Lepisosteus oculatus: one gene and its partner. The protein of the gene in region 2 binds, or shares a complex with, the protein of the main gene of each other region. Links are inferred from orthologs where the notes say so. Each region holds a gene or a part of one and is shown on either strand. Other genes may lie near its edges. The genes, in order: pdcd10a and strip1.

Region 1 (8,450 bases), on a different chromosome or scaffold from region 2:
ATCAGCAGTTTAGCTGTGATGAGGCTCATCATCGCAAAACAGGCACCTATTGCTCACGTGTTCCTCACCTCAACAGAACGTGATGCTGCGAGCAAACTGATTAATCCAAGTTTTCTTTTTGTAGTCCAGCCTGATGGACAACAGAACCTGCTGAATGATGCACTAATTGCTGTATACAACACACCAATCAATAGGGAGGTCCAAGTATAGTAGGCTGGACGTTTGTTTCCTCATGATAAAGCTCCACTTGTAATGGTTAATAAAAAAAGGAGTCCCACTGTAAAAAATTCATCCCAGGTAATGAATGGGGAATTTCATCAGATATAAAATTTTCTTGGACATTTAATCAGTTAAGACAAGAAAGGGTCAGATGCTTGGCATGAAACATTTACCTGAACCACGCTCATTAATAGTGTTATATTTTAAGTAAAATGTAACTGTAGCCAGTTCCTTCCATTTTTGGCAGGACTGTAAGTGAGCATGTCACTTTTTATGTCCGTTAAGAAGTGTGCACATTTCTCCAATCTTGAGTTCCATCTGATACAAGCTGCATTTGTGAGGTGGATTTTACAGCAAAAGCAATAAACTGCTTGTTGAACAAACAAGCAATGAACCCTCCACTTCCCTCTCTGCTTTTGACAGGTTCAGGCGCCATCGTCCTTAGGACCTATAAATCCTTTGACCAGCTCTGGATGCTTCATGTCTGTCCAGGTTTACTTCCACTTTTCACCTTTTCACAGTCTCAGTCTCTGCCTAATTTATTCTTGTGCATGTTGTTAAATCTGCTGACATCTTTCAACTGATTGTGAATTCAATATTAATACCGGCATGCATTTCAGTTGAATACAGAAATTGCAGTTAGGCTCTCTCAGTGCCTCTGTCAATAGGACTGCTTTCTGTCCAGTTTGCTTGTCAGGGTAGGGGTAGTACACGGAGATAGAACAAAACCCCTTTATAGTTGCAAAAATAAGATTGAATTGTCTTTGAAATATTACCAAATAAGCAAAAACAGAAAACGGAAGAAAAAAATCTAATCATTCCCACACAGCTCTTTTAAAAAACAACGTACATCACAATTTTTTCTGCACTCTTAAATTTACTGCCTTAAATGATCAAGTATTTAATCAATGCACTAAATCAGGATTGGATACAAGATAAGATCACTTTACTGGCCATATACGGGATTTTGTATTAGGAATTTGTCTTTTTCACATACTCTTAACTTGCTCTTCATGAGACAGACAGCCGGAGAGAAGCTTGGGGTCAGAGCAGGCTCAGCCATTTATACAGCATCCCTGGAGCAGTTGGGGTGAAGGGCCTTGCTCAGGGCCCCAGAGTCGGATTCCTGTGCCGGCCATGGGATACGAACTGGCAACCTTTCAGCCACAGGCAGGCACAGATCCTTAGCCAGAGAGCCACCGCTCCGCCCCAATATACAGGGAGGTATGTTCTTATTCCTTGAACACACTGGAGTGGTCAGTGCTGCATATTATCAGCAGGAGAAGGGAACTTGATTGGGAGTCCTCTGCCTAACTCGCCTACACAACAACTCTTTGAGCAAAATCTGGGATGTTAGAAGTGACAAGAACCTCAGTCTTATCCTGGATGGCTCTGTTTCTGCACCCCAGCCAGTGCTCTGTAATGGGAATAGTTCCAGGGCCCCAGAATTTAAGTACAACCTCATATGAACAGGTGTTCACAAGGTGTGCAGTAAAATATACAAGCTTTTCCTAAGAAAGATCTTCAGGTCACCTGAAGTCACACCCAAATCATAGTCCTGATAGTCAAATGTCTTCCAGTAAATAAGATTTGGCAAATACCATTTAGTGTTGGTATTTACAAATACCATTTACAAAATCTGGAAAAACGTTTGCACGCAGCACGTAGCCCCCGACACAAGAAGAATGTGTAGCTTAAGCTGAACGTATGTTCCGCAGCATTGGAAATTGGGATTCAAAAATCAAAGCTGCTAAGTATATATAGCAGGTTGTACCGGCAGGGATTTGATTCAAATGACAGTATAATCATTCACACATCTACCAATACAGTGTAGGAGGGAGGACAGCACATTTCCCATTATGGGAATATCTGCATACAGCTGGTTCAATTATTAAATTCCACACTGAGATAAATATTTTCCAAACTGAATTTGGGTCATCCCAAACACTTACTGATGGCAATCAGCTTCCCATAAAGTGCTGTATAAAGAGCAGGTCACATCCCGGGCATTTATTTTGAAGCATTACTGAAAACTGCTTAGGGAATAAAAAAAAAGAGCTGATGATGTTCATTCTAGAAAGTGAAAAGACAAGAAGCCTGATGACCACAGAGTCATTTCACACACTGCTGAACCCAGCCTGAAGGAACCTGTTAGGAAACTCAGTAAGGCGAGGTATTAAATATCACTATCAATTCCTATCATATTCTCATGATTCTAAAAGTCTAAAAGTTCTGAGACTATTTATTTCAGCATAACTGATACGCATGCACATATAGCTTAATGACTAATGCGAAACGCACAGATGCAACCCATTTTAAAGTAGCGATTTAACATCACTAGTCGAACTATAAAGAACACGAAACGAGATTTGACCCTGCTGTGTGTTTAATTCACTTTTGGGATTGTTACTGTTCTCACCGCACTGTTCACTCCGAGGCGGTCTGCCATCTCCAAAGCTGTCACGGGTTTAAACAGAAAATGGGAAATACGGCACCTTCAGTTCAGGCTGGTAATCACCAGCCAGGCTTCACTGATCACTGCTGGAAACTTTTCCAGCTTAAAATGAGACGCGAAACTGTATCTAAGCGCGATAGCTATGTCGTTTCAAACAACCAGGAGAGGACGTATAGAACCCGGAAAAAACAGCTCTTTAAAATCTGTCCTATCCGCATACCAAGGCCTGGGTGGCCGGGCTTGTCCCTGGGCTGCCGGCAGGTGAGGGACCAGCCCCCCGGCTCCCAGGGCTGGGCCGGCGGACACCTTTCTAACCGAGTTCCGCGCCAACAACAACAGGCCGAGCCGAGGCCCGTAGACCTCTGGCTCACTCGGACGAGGTGCCTTTCGGTATCAGACCCGGGCGGTTCCGATTCCGGTCAGGCGGATGTTGTTTCGGGGGACAAGCTAGAACCAGGAAACCTTCAACGAGACGAAAGCTAACGATATTAATAACAACAGCATTATTAGAAATACCTATTCGCTAACTACTTCACTGGGCACCTCGAAGAGTGACAACCCATCGACACGAAGTTGGCAGAAAAAGGAGACGTTCAGCGCGGTTTTTGATATTTAGTACGTACCTGCTTCTTTCCGTCCCGAATAAGCCCCCAAACTCCGTTTTTATGTGTTCTTTTTTTTTACCGAAGACGGAAGTTTTCTGCCTGACCAGAGACGCAGGGAGTTGAGGCGAGGTCCCCAGTACACCAACCAGAAAAAGCTTTATAGACGGCTAGGTCGGTAGTAGGAATTGTAGTCTTTGGAGAGCCTTTCTAATGCGGCGAAGATTGGCGCTTTACGTGCTATAAAACTCCAAGTACCAGAAAGCATTTCGCCGCCTCCGCGTCCCCGCCCCCTCACAGTGAGTGACACTCCTCTCGGCCAATAAAGTGCACGGATGGGTAGCTCATTGACTACAGCGGGTTTCGCATGTTATCATGCATTTCTTTGCCCTCTTTTTTTTTTTACTACGCGATAGCAGCCCGATTGATCTTCACTGACAGGTCTGAAATCCACCCCTTCGCAGTTCGAAGTAGCTAGAGGAAATACGGCTAGCATAAAGGCTAGCGTGTTGTGAAGGTAGGACGGGAGAGGTAGCCAATGGGTATGGAGGCAGGCGGGATCGGGCTGTGAAAATATTTAGGTCTGTCTTGAACCTGCCGCGGCGTCCAAAAGGAATAAGCATCACCGAGAGGCGGAGTGCTACTGTAGCTAAGCATCCTTAGCAGAATAGCACTTGGTAAGGAAGGGATTTAAATGCCTTATAATGTCAAACCAAGTCCTAATTCGTTGTGCTGAAACGAATCAACATGTTGTCATTATCGCTCTCCGTTTAACTGAAGCATCGCTGTCAATGATGTGTCTGTGGGTTTTTTTTATTCTTAGAGGGCTAAGTTTATTTTTCTCTCCAGTTCTTGGCTTTTGGGGTTTTTCTTTTTTACTAGCTGTGCAATGACTAAAATCTGCCTTTTTTTTTTAGTTACCAAGAGAGGCGGGTTGCGAATAGCAAAGTGGTCCTTTGTTCTCCTGATACCTATTCTTGTGTGTTCCTGTGTGTGAAGTTATTTTCCGAATCTCATATTAATAATGTACGAGCCGACGGTGTGCATGACTCCTGGGTAGTTTATATTAAACTCGTGATACACGTGAATGGCGTAGAGAATATACAAATGAACGGATTAGCTTTCCGAATTCTTATCTTCTTACATTTCACGTAAAAAGCTGTGTATGTTATGTAAAATGCTGTATATCTATATATCCGTTGCCAAGCCGACGTTCTCGTGACATTGTAAATGTATATTTTTAAAGATTAAACGTCTTGGCATTTGTGATCTGTAGATAATCCACCTAAAAAGTAAAAAGTGAGACGTAAAATTGGGTGTAAAACGTTAGTACGTTAAATTGGTATATAACCACATGGCAAGAACATATATTCACAAGATCTTCCTGAATCGCACTATTCTGATGTACGTATGCGAGTTTAAATCCTCTAGTATACAGTACGTGTCAAACAAGCAGCTAGTTAAATACTGTTTTATTTTGTTACTGTCCTTGCTGGTGTGTACGTTGTTGGAGAAATTTATTATTTGTATAGATTTTAGTTTTTTTAAAATTCTGGCGTGTCTCCTAGCACGGGTGTGGATTTCACACCTTCAAAAATTATTCTCACAAAATAAGCAACCAATCTGTTTACGATAAAAAAAATGTCCCGCCCCCCCCTAGAAATCGTGGATTCGACTTGAACCTTCGCTAAGTGTAATGTTAAAATCACTGAGCAGTTTCCGTTTTAGCGTAACAAAAACGGAACATTGTGTTAACATTGTGAGGTCTTTAATTTGCGTCATGTTAATACCGACTAAATCTTCACATGCAAGTAGGGGCTTTTCTTCCATCTGTGCGCAGGCAGAGGACGGAAATGCCCCTGCGTTACAGAAAAAAAAAAGATATCAGATTATTTTAATTTTTAATTCTAGAACCATTTCATTTTCTGTGAAACTGTGTGACAGTAAACATACATCAAGTCATTGATTATGGCAAATAATTTAGGAATATATTATCGATTCTTTTTCAGGTTTTTTAGTATTATTCTTTTCATGAATTGCTGTTTTGCATACAGTATTTTACCAGTGTAACATCACAACACTTTGGTTGTGTGTATTTTAAAAGCCACTACATCCCTTTCAGAGCTTTCAAGTCTTTTATTCAGCTCAATTAATCTAAACGGCAGCAGATCCAATTACTGTTTAAATCTCTGAAGCACAGCTCTCACTGGTGTCTAAGAAAGTTATTCAGGCACAGAAAAGTCCAAGGAGACATGCATGCTTTGTTAAAGAAGTGGGTTTCTATAACCCTGGCACATTAAGCCCTGCTTTAACGATCTAAAGTCTGGTCATATTTAAAACAACGTTTGCTTCTTATAGAGATTGAATTGCCTTTTTTATCCCCATTTCTAGTGATAAATATCTTCTACCGCAGTATGGGCTGCTTGGAAAACCTAGCAATATTCACATATTGAGTTTCTAATAATTTCTAAAGCTCCCGTTGACCTTTTATTTAATTAATCCTGTGGTTTATTTATTAATTGTGCTAAGCAAACTTAAGTGGGGCTACGAAAATCGAGTTTATTTAGAATGTTCCTCAGAAGGGTGCCAGGAAGTACAGAATAATACCTCCTAGCTGTTGCTGGAAAAAAAGCTTAACTTAATCTCCCAGATGAGCCCTTTCATCACACTGCCCCGAACAACATAAAATGGCGCATTCATCTACACAAACAGAAGACGGGTATGTGTCTGGAGTAAATTTATGAAACTGCATCAAATTCATTTGCACACGATTTGGCTTATTATGCTTTGAGGCGGTAGAGATGGAGCTCAAAGTTTAATTGCTTTTGCATCTCTCTGAAGGACAGTCTGTTGTCATTAGCATTCAGGATCACAAGGAGAAGGAATGTCATGGAATGGAAAAAAATTCCCATATCACCTTCTTGTATTTGGTGATGTTTTAAGTATATACAGTAGGTGCATTGCCATCAGTGAAGTTTCAGTGTTTGTTTTTTGGTATCATCTAAATGAAGAACTAATGTTGGCCTGGAAAAAAAAGGTCCAATTTAAGGCATCCAATTGAATTAGCATTGCATGCGTTAATACATTCTTTTTAATTTAAAAGCAACTTTGTTTAACAATGAGGTATCCAGCATCAGGCATGATCATTATGTGCCTGAGTGCTGTTTGGTCAGGGGACGTGTATTAGAAAGGTAAGATAGTAAGTTCAAATAAAACTAAATAATTCTGAAGAGTGAAGGAATCTGCTTTCCAATGTAGCCGTAGAATCAAATAAAATACTGCTGTTTTTCAAAATAAGTTGCTGAAGAATTTCTTTTAGAAATGTAACATCGAGCAGTTGCCTTGTGCTCTTGACTTGCATGGGGAACCCCTACCCTCAACAGTATTTCAGTTACGCGTCTGCTTGAGAAATAAATTAAATGAACCGATGCTGTAATAAAATGGTCATGCTAGCCCCTGATGCAGAATGATGGTTTATATCGATTTATTCCTGTCTCCTTTTCCCATTGCTGAATCATGTCGGTAACGCCCATAATGAGCAATGGGTCAGAACGCTGAAGATGGAGGTGCTTTCCCATCTTCGGTCCGATAAGATTGGTGTTAGAAGGAATGTGGTAACAAGTAAGGGAAGGAAACTGATGGGACTTGTAATAGACTGTGGATTTGTCTACACTGGCCCTCCCTGCTCCTCCTAAACTTGGGATAAGAAAACTCCACTACCTCTTGTTAAATCTGTGGATCGGACCTGTCACTGCGATTGCCTGCTGTGATAAGATTGTGCAGGAGTGTACGGAATACTCTAATTTATTTTTGGAGAATCTAAATTATGGTGAAGGGTTTTTGCAACGGTGATCAAAGCAGGTTGCCATCAATTGACGATTGACGGGGGTTAAGTTGGGTAACCCTATGGGGATATGTATGCATTTCATTCATTACAGAATCAGAGCTATCATGATTAATGAGCCCGAACAGATGTGCGGTAGAGAAGACTGAAGCTTTTTTTTAAGTCGGACTGAGAACGTTTTTTTTTTCTACGATGAGGAAAACCTGATTGTTATTCTGTTGGTTTCTGTGGTGAATTAATAAACAGTCCATTGCTGTTTTTTTGTGCTGCTGTCGGCACTCTTGATTGTCAGATTCCACAAATAAAGAATCTTCTAGCCTGTTTTGGCTAGACATCCCAGGTACCAGGAATGAGTCCGGTATAATAATGTGCAGCACTGAAGTAGGACATCTGCAGTATGTGGGAGGATTGTAACATGACAATTCTTCATTACATGTTTGATTTTAATATACAATACAGTAAGCACATTGAGGTGTATGGATTAAGGTGGGAGTGAGCTGCGATAGGCAATTTTTCAATATGTGGTGGAAAATCTTTCTAACCTTTGACATGATCTGGTTGAAATGAGATGTCTGCACAAAAAACCTTGTATTTGCAAATGCTAATCTACAATGAGTGACACAGCTGCCCAAGCCTGTGGTCTGTGTTTATGCTGTTTATCCTTTGTTTGTACCTCTGACTGGAATCTGTAGCATTTATTTTCGTTTGGTGTTGTGTTAAAGTGACCCTTCCAGCTGTTTTTTTTTTACTTTCTCAGGACAGACAGCAGTAACCTCCCATGTTGTGACCGAAGTGCCTGCCTTAAGAACAAAAGCTGTAATTTGGAGTTTATGCAGACAGCACTGCAAAATCTATGATAGCTGTCCTCTGTAATCCTAAAATGGCAAGGGTTGAGATTGCCTCAAGAGTCTCTCTGTCTCTAAAAGTGTATCGCAAAATCCTCTTTTCCAAATCTTAAGCAGCTCCCAGAGAATGCTGGAGGCCACATTTCCACAGCTCTATTCTGCACATGGAATCCATTGCTGAAAGGAGGTGAAATGGAGTCCTAACACCTGTCTTTTTTAATTCATTTTTAACAGATCTTGGTATTTTTGATAATAATTCTTTTCTTTGGTGTGTCTCTTTACCATGTGGCCTTTCGTTTCAAAACGCAAAACATTGTGTTGAAAAGGATTTTTAAGAAGAAGAGTTTGGATGTTAGGGTTTCCTTTTCAAAGAATGAACTTTATTCAGTCTTTGTCCTGTGCTTTAAAGAGCAAACCCTTTAACCCTGACTTCAAAAGAGTAATTAAGACTGATCTGATGTAATCTGTTCTTTTGCTTTTGATTT
Region 2 (8,116 bases):
CATTTAAGAAGCAATTGAAGATTTCTAGAGTTAATACCTTTCCTTTTGGAATGTTATGAAGGTGGTGTCTAAAACTAACTGCCTAGGCAAGGCACTGAAGCCAACACGCTGGAATTGTTCAAGAGGCAACTGACTGAGATTTTGGCTAATATTTATATCAGTGATTAAATGAACAAGTTAGGGTAAAATTCCTTCTTTTTGCTTGTAACACAATAATTTCAATATCCAACTCAATGTAAAGAAAATGCCCTTTAGCTTGTGCAATACAGACTCTTTCCCAATTGTATCACACCATAGCAGTCACAGGACAGTCCTTAATGAGGCAGACAGTGCCACAAGCTGCTACTCCTGAGCTATTTGCTGACTTACCCTGAGCCATGTACAGAATAGCTCTGGCTACTTTGAGCCTCTTCTCCCTGGCCGTCACTTCCAGCCCATCCAGGAGCCGCATCGCATGGGCCCTGTGCTGAGTGGCGTCCAGTTCTGTCCATTTCTTATCTGTCACTGAGAAGGCAAAGCATAGAACTGATGACCAGCCTGAAGGACTTCGAGCTCAAAGCCATGTTTATCACTGCATCTGTGAACATTGATTGGATGGGAACCTGTGAACCTGTGTTGGATTCTGATACAATGTTTCACTCCTACTGTATATTAAAATGCTATATTTAAAACCCGTGCTGTATCTATAAAAAATGAGTATTAGACAGTGATATTACAGAAATGATATACAATAAATGCAAAATAATATTAGACACGGTGTATACAGAAATATAAATTGCATGAAAACAGTAATCAAGCAGAGCCTGTGGTGCTGTACATTAACCACTCAACAGATGTTCTCCTTGTTTTAAACCAAAAGTACCATGTGTCCTGAAATCTTCAATAAAGCACTTCTTGTTGAGCAGAAACTCTGGTCCCTCTGTGTAACTATACAGCTCTAGAAAACAAACCAACAAAAGACACCAATATTGGTTTTGAAAACAAGACAGGGCACAGTGCAATCTAGTGAAAACTGACTCGTGACAAACAAGATCACTGTCCAGTATAACAATCATAAGGAAATAGTAGTCTTAGCTACAGAACAACAGAAGAAAAAAATAAAATACTGCAATTTAAAACATGACTGCTCCAATTTTGTACAAAGGCAATAAAAATATTCTTTAGGAATATTTGTGAAATTAAGCTTCTATATTTTTAAGCACCCAGAAGATAATATATTAAATATCCAACCCACCTGAAAGCTCTGCAGCCCATCTGTCTGTATCAGCATATTCAAACTCTAGATCAGGAGATTCAGAAAAACCCTGGAAAACATGAACACAACTTCTGTCTGACTGTTCAGGATTGCTTTTGTAGCCAAGCAACAACATGTTGTGTGTACAAGTCAGTGGCCCCAAACTTCATGCTTCTATTTTCTAACTACTTTATCCAATCACAGATAATGTAGGACAGCTGTCCATCACAGAGCCCCACAGTCACAGGCATAAACATGCACACACTCACACCAGGGCCAATTTTCTCAGAAGCCAGTTATTTTACTGTTAAGTCCATCCAGCCCATTGACTTCTGTTTCACTGTAATCACAAAGCCAGTACTGGGAACAAACCTCCTCCAAGGCAAATCCTCCTGAAACTCTTCATCTGGAAAGAGTCAATTTAAAGCCTCCTAATCCTAAACTAAACCTAACCCGCATTCAGTTAGGAAGCTGGAAGAAATAATGGCACCTGGTGAAAACTCACACAAACACAGGGGCACATGAAATCTCCAGACAGACAGGCACCCATAGCTAGAATCGAACCTTGCCACCCACATTACTCTAAGCATACAGGCGTGTAGTTCTGATCTTAATATAACTAGTGAACAGACTGAGGCTGTGGTTTTGTTACCCAGAATTTTAGATATCAGTGATCAATCCAAGAAAATTGATGAGGGGTTTAGTGTATGGGAGAATGCCGGATACTAAAAATGTACCCCTCAAAAGACTAATTCAGAATAATCTGGCAATGCATCAAATTTGTATTTCCTTCTGTAGAAGCCAACAGGATTATATTTAAGGGGATACACACATCGATGAGGAGGAGCACCAAAACAAGTACAAGGTTCAGGTTGATTACCAATTACAAACCTCAGTCAATGTGGTAACAACAAATTTTAAACATGTCCCAGTAAGAAATCTGAAATCAATAAGCCTGGAGCAAAAAATGAAAAGATAGTGGTCAATGCCTATAGAAATCCCACACGCCAAAGTAAGACTGTGCATGCTCCACATGGAAGATACCCTAGTGCCTCACTAACCTCCATGCCACTCTGCATTTACTTAAGATTATGATTTAACACCATTTTATTGTAGTAGTTGTACAGACCGTGTTTAACGAGTCCATTACTAGCTCCCGGACGTTTTAGATTGGTCCTATGCATTTCGTCATTTTAGACGAAAGTGTCATAATATTGGCAGCACCTCTTTGGCCAAGGTGGGGGGATGTCTTGCCAGATTAAGGGAACATTATATCCCATCTGTCCTCATTTTACTGTGGTACGCGATCTGGCCTTGAAATCCCCCTCCAACCACCGCGACAGCACCGGGTTCCCATGACAACGCCAGTTCCCATCCTTCCTCACCGGCTAGAATGAAACCGGGGATGTGGATTTTTTTTTGCCAAAATCCCCATGATATACACTGCGTTTCAGTCTGTGCTTTTTAAAATCACAACGCCTATTAATTTAGGGATACATTAACAGTATAAAATAATGCCTAGAATGGAAATATTTCAAGGGCGAATACCACCAAGTGGTACAGCAGGAGACGAACTTCTTTCCATTAGTTGCTACGTGTTGCATTAATAACGTCGCTTCTCCGCTTTCTCTTCCCCGCGTTCCCCATTCACACAATAACGACAGAAGATCAGTTCAATATATAAAATGCACACGAAGCTATTGGGTCTTTTTTTAAGGTTCACGCGAGTATTTCTGCTGTATGTACTAAGCGCAACCAAGGCTGTATCCTGTGTATGTTCTTCTTAAGCCAAGAACGTTAAGATAGCTTGTTTTCAAAAACAAATCGCATCGCACCAACACCCCCTCCCTTACCTCCGAGTCCTTTCTCTGATTTCGGATGAATTCGCCCCTGCCTTTGTTGGGTAACATCGCTCGCTGTTTATTGTTGACAACCAACGCTCCGCCAACTCCGACGTCCATCTTTGCTTCCCTGCTACACCCATCCAGCCCCCCTTCCACCGGCAGCCACATATCTCGCGAGAGTCTACTTGCTCACACAACAGGCAGAAGCCTACAAGACAACGAAACATCACGAGATTTCGGCTGAGGAATGCGGATGAGCACGGAACCAGCTGTGTTCTGCTGTTTTAAGGTGTTAATGGAGACGCTGTGAAATACGGACTGGTCCCCTAAAAAAGAGGGGATATTCGTGCTGGCGGTCCTTCTTTTTAGGCAATCATTTGCAATAAGCACTCCTGACTTACAGGTGCATGATAAAACTTTAACTTTAGTAACTCAATATGGTAATATTCAAAAATCTCAAACAAGAACATAAGGAAGCTCACATACCAATGGGGCTATTTCTATTTGGCTGCTATGTAATTGATGCCGACTACCTGACGAAGGACCTGAGGTTTTATTTCTCCTGTTCTAAGTCAGAAATATGCACTTCTCATTAGCTTGTGTCTCATGGCCCAGTTTTCACAGCTAACCAATTGGGTTGACTTTACCTTTGCCATAGAGTATTCTGAATAAGGTCCCCTGCAGGTTCAAAGCAGATCTGCCATACGATTGGTTTGTGGAAGTTCTATTCCTTTCTCACTGCAATACACACTCCAGGAATAAACATCTAATCCCACACCTGCCAGAAGCACAGCAGCTATCAATTCTCCTAGGCCAGGGGGAGGAAACACAATAGAGCTGCAGTATAGAGTATGCAATTTCCTGTCCCAGCCTGAGGAGCAGACAGTGACTCTAAATAAGAGCAATGACGTGTTCCTGGGATGACTGTTTCTGGTGGCTTTTGCCTGGTGGCTTTTGCCTGTGTTTGGCCCATATAAGAGAATTAATCAGCAGTGGGTAAAATCCTAAACCTGGAAGTAGGATATGCATGCAGGCTTTCTCCATCTCTCCAAAGCAACAGCACCTCGAGAGCTGGATGGAGTTGTTACATTGGTCCCAAGCCTGTTTTAGATATTCAGAGCTGTGCTGGAATTAAAACTGCTGACACGCCAGGGCTATGGGACCAGTATCGCCCTTCCCTGGGGTTAAATGGTGGGATTTGGGGATGGGAGGAACATTGGAGTAAAAGAACAGGGATACAGAGAGGCTAGGAAGATGGAATAACATACCCACCAACTTTCCCTCACCAAGGAGGGAACTAAAAAAATACCAAAAAACAACATAGCTAAGCTGTTATTTTCCTATTTCCATTCCTGGCAGTGCTGTGCGCACAAGAACGCTGTTTGTAGCAGAACTACTGATCCGACACAGGCTGAATCACTTGAGAAAATGCCTCTACTACCCTTTGAGGTAAGGTACAATTTGGAGGCGAGCCACTATGCATAACCTGCATGTCTTAAGATGCCAAAGTCTCAGAGCATCTCTCCCAAACCCCACCCAGAAAAAAAGAAATTTTCAGACACAGCCTACAACCTAATTCAGGCTGCCTATCGTAGGATGCAAGGCAGGTTGGATCCCCTGGACAGGAGATTCAGCCCATCTATACTGTATGGTAAAACATTTGGACATCTGTCCATCGCAGGGCACACACATTTCCACATTTTACTGACTCTAACCTAACCAGCATGTGTTTTAAGTACTACTACACTAAATCCTCTACAAACACTGGGAAAACATGCAAACTCCAATCAGAAGGTGCCCAAGTATTGAATCAAACCCAGGACTCAAGAGCTGTGAGACATCAGCAATAAACAGCCGCCGTTCCACCCTTTCCCTTATACAAACTCCCTACAAACAGTGAACAGCCTGGCACTCCTGATAATAACATTCCAAAGGTTAACACACGACACACTCCAAACATTATTAACCAAATTCCTTTTATTGATGGAAAATAACAATGAAAAAGAGATGTCATCACACATAAGAAGGGCCCAGTCTCACAAAGGGCCTCATAAAGTGAGCTTTTGCTCCACCGCAAAAGTGACAAGAACATTACAATTTTAGATTCAGTGCAGCTGGGAAGATCTGTATTGCATTTACTTACGATTTAACCTCAGAAGTTATATTCCAGTTGTCTGAACTTTGCACTGGTGCAAAATACAAAACGCCTTGCAAGGCAACACTGTAGTGCCAGAACAGGCCTGGAACAAAATAAAAGATACGCAATGGTAAAACAAAGCAGCTCTGTCCTTTTCCTGAGCTCTTATTCTGTACCCAGAAGCTGTAGACAAACCTATATAATACAACTGTGATAAGAGAGGAGCATGTGTTAATGTTCAACTTGTTTGGTTTCGGGGAGGACCCCCACCCCATATAATAAAAATGCATTGGTGGTCATTCTAGGGACGGTGGAGGGGTTTTAGTGTGAAAAACACCAGGAAATAATGGTGTAAAGACCCTTCGTTATACCATAGCAAGGCAACGACTGAGCTTTCATTAAGTACACCAATTATTCAATTATTTAAGGACTGCCAAGATCTCAAAAGCATCACAGAAATGCAAGGAATTATCACTATCTGTAAAACACTGACATTATAAAAAGGACAAGATTACTTAAAGGAAAACTATACACCTTCCATGCTCTCAGATTCTACTTGAGACAGAATTTGAAAACGATGCATCCAAAATATTTTTCTTTAGTACTTAGTACTTTGAGAATCTGAAGGGAGATTGACAAATACTGAAGCATGTACACTGTGAAGATCAGGTTGCCAAATTTAATAAAAGTTTGAAAGAACATGCCTAGCAAAACCCCTGGCTCCTCTCTGAAACCCAGATCGCAATACGTGCAGTATTATAGTTTGTCACACTCTTTCTCTCAAGTAACATTTTTACTCTGCCAGCGCAGATAAAGGTACAGTGAATGCAGTGAAACCACCAGATCACTCTATGACACACATTTCCAGGAACAGCATAATGTCACACCTCCACCAATATTGATTGCATTTGGCCCAAGCAAAATGATGATCTGAACATTGGAGTAAAAGAATAGGAAAAGGTGAAATGACACATTAAATGGAAACTAAAACATTCTTGTCATTCCAGCCTAAGCAGAAAACTGCAGTCTTCCTTCTAACCCAACTTTAAAGGGACAAGGAAGACAAAAGAAACAGAAATCCTTGTCGAGGCACAAGATCTCCACAAAAAGCTGCTGCCATAGGCTCAGCTCTTTCATGTTTGTTGGAGATGAGTCACCCTAGTGACGTTACAACACTTGAAGGGGAATGTCTCAACTGTATTAATTTCCCACATTCCACACCTTAACATTAATCTCAGATCCAGCAGCCAAAGATAAGAGATATTAAAGATAACAACATTCTATTCTAAATTAAAACATCTTGCAGCACACACAATGATGAGAAGTAGCCAGGTGAAAGGTTATGTTCATAACAGTTTGTGGACCAGTAGGTAGCACTCTTCTCTTTGTATGAAAACGTCCAAGTGTAGAGACCAGGGACACCGGGGCGTAGGGGTGCCAACCTACTGATGAGCTGTTAAACTGAGGTCTTGACTACTTCTGGTCACTTTATAATTGCAGTGAAGCAATTAGCTTCTCTTAACTTCTCAATTGCTTCTCCAAGCCTCCCCTGTTGCCTATGCCTAAAAGTAACCCTGCCAGTAACCTGGTAAGTCTATAAAACATGTATAAAACAAGTTTAATTATTAAACCAAGTCTTCTAAAATGTATTAGGTTAGTAGACTTAAAAAAATAAGACAGTCAATTCTCTTGTTTGATAAGGTGATGTTTGAAGTCAGACATAAAACTATTATACCAGACCTTTTCTGACACTTACAGTTCTGAGTTTTTATTATTTACTTTTAATACAGGGAAAAATGTCCACAGTTTTCTCCTGCTTTCTGTATTGCTCAACTGGAGATTGTCAAGGGCTGTTTCGTTTTCCGGATGAACAGCACATGACCCTTCCGCCACCCTCTCAAACCTCCACACTTGAGCCATGAATTCCTGCCAAGATGAAGTTGTGTGTTAAAGCTGGCAAGAGACAATGGGGAGTTGGCTCCTGTTCCCGTCTCTGCACTTTGGTCGGGCTGGGGCTGGCCTGTTCAGTCTCTGAGCTGCTCCCCGCTGCGGGGCAACTGTGCGGTGCGCCGTCTCTGCTCCTCAGCAGCCCCCCTGCGCTATCACCTCGTCCTGAACCACGCTCCCCTGCTGAATCGCAGCTGTAGCCAAGCTGATGGCTTCCTCCAGGGTCTGCTGCTCCTCCAGCTGGGCAGACACACAAGACAACGTCATGGATTCATTGGAAAGTCAGGGGAAGGCTTAAAGAGAGTTTTGTGTTTTTTCCCAATGCTCACAAAACAAAAGGTAAAAAGGCTTAGCTCCAGAATGGCTCCACCTTTATACTGGAGGTGCACGCCGACCACAGGTTGCCCTGACATCACCAGTTTAGCTCTGACCTGTGTCATTAACTGGACTGTGACCAGGATTCCCCAAGCAGAGTGGCACGTGTGGCTGATCACTGCCAGGGCTGGGGGAGTTGGAGTCTGTAAAGATTATCCCTCAGCTCGAACACCATGCCACCGCAGGAAAAGGCCACTGGCCTTTTCCATTTGGGAGGGTTCAACACAGATACAATAAGTTTGTAGATTTCTATATACAATTTTGGAATCAACAGTAAAATAAAGAGGACATTTTGCATGGAGACAAATAAATAATCAACATTTACTTCGATTCACATAAAGAAAAGAGTGAGGGATGCGCTGTTTGTGTAAGCAGGGTTTGATACTGCCTTGCTGAATTTGACTGACCTGCACAGCAATCTGTGTGCCATTTGCTGTGGCCAACAGCGCCACCTGCTGGTAATGAGGGGCAGACAGCTCAGAGGTTCCAGTTATCATGCCATCTGATGTTACTATTGCAACCTGAAAGAGTGAGGTGAGGGGGAAAAAGTTTAAATGCAAATAAAGTGACATCTTCTGG

The links.
Region 1: strip1 (region 2) and pdcd10a share a complex: the UniProt entries of both Homo sapiens proteins name them as parts of the core of STRIPAK complex. The link is inferred for Lepisosteus oculatus from reciprocal best matches to the Homo sapiens genes STRIP1 and PDCD10.

What each region holds. Positions count from the first base shown.
Region 1 is NC_090708.1:4,827,474-4,835,923, reverse strand, and holds the start of pdcd10a (programmed cell death protein 10-A), read right to left. Parts: upstream 3,437-8,450; 5' UTR 3,298-3,436; intron 1-3,297. UniProt on the Homo sapiens protein: Promotes cell proliferation. Modulates apoptotic pathways. Increases mitogen-activated protein kinase activity and STK26 activity. Important for cell migration, and for normal structure and assembly of the Golgi complex.
Region 2 is NC_090700.1:37,169,744-37,177,859, reverse strand, and holds the start of strip1 (striatin-interacting protein 1 homolog), read right to left. Parts: upstream 3,236-8,116; 5' UTR 3,196-3,235; coding exon 3,088-3,195; intron 1,305-3,087; coding exon 1,235-1,304; intron 938-1,234; coding exon 863-937; intron 505-862; coding exon 370-504; intron 1-369. Other genes in the region: znf76 (zinc finger protein 76), read right to left, coding at 7,298-7,402, 7,945-8,058. UniProt on the Homo sapiens protein: Plays a role in the regulation of cell morphology and cytoskeletal organization. Required in the cortical actin filament dynamics and cell shape. Part of the striatin-interacting phosphatase and kinase (STRIPAK) complexes.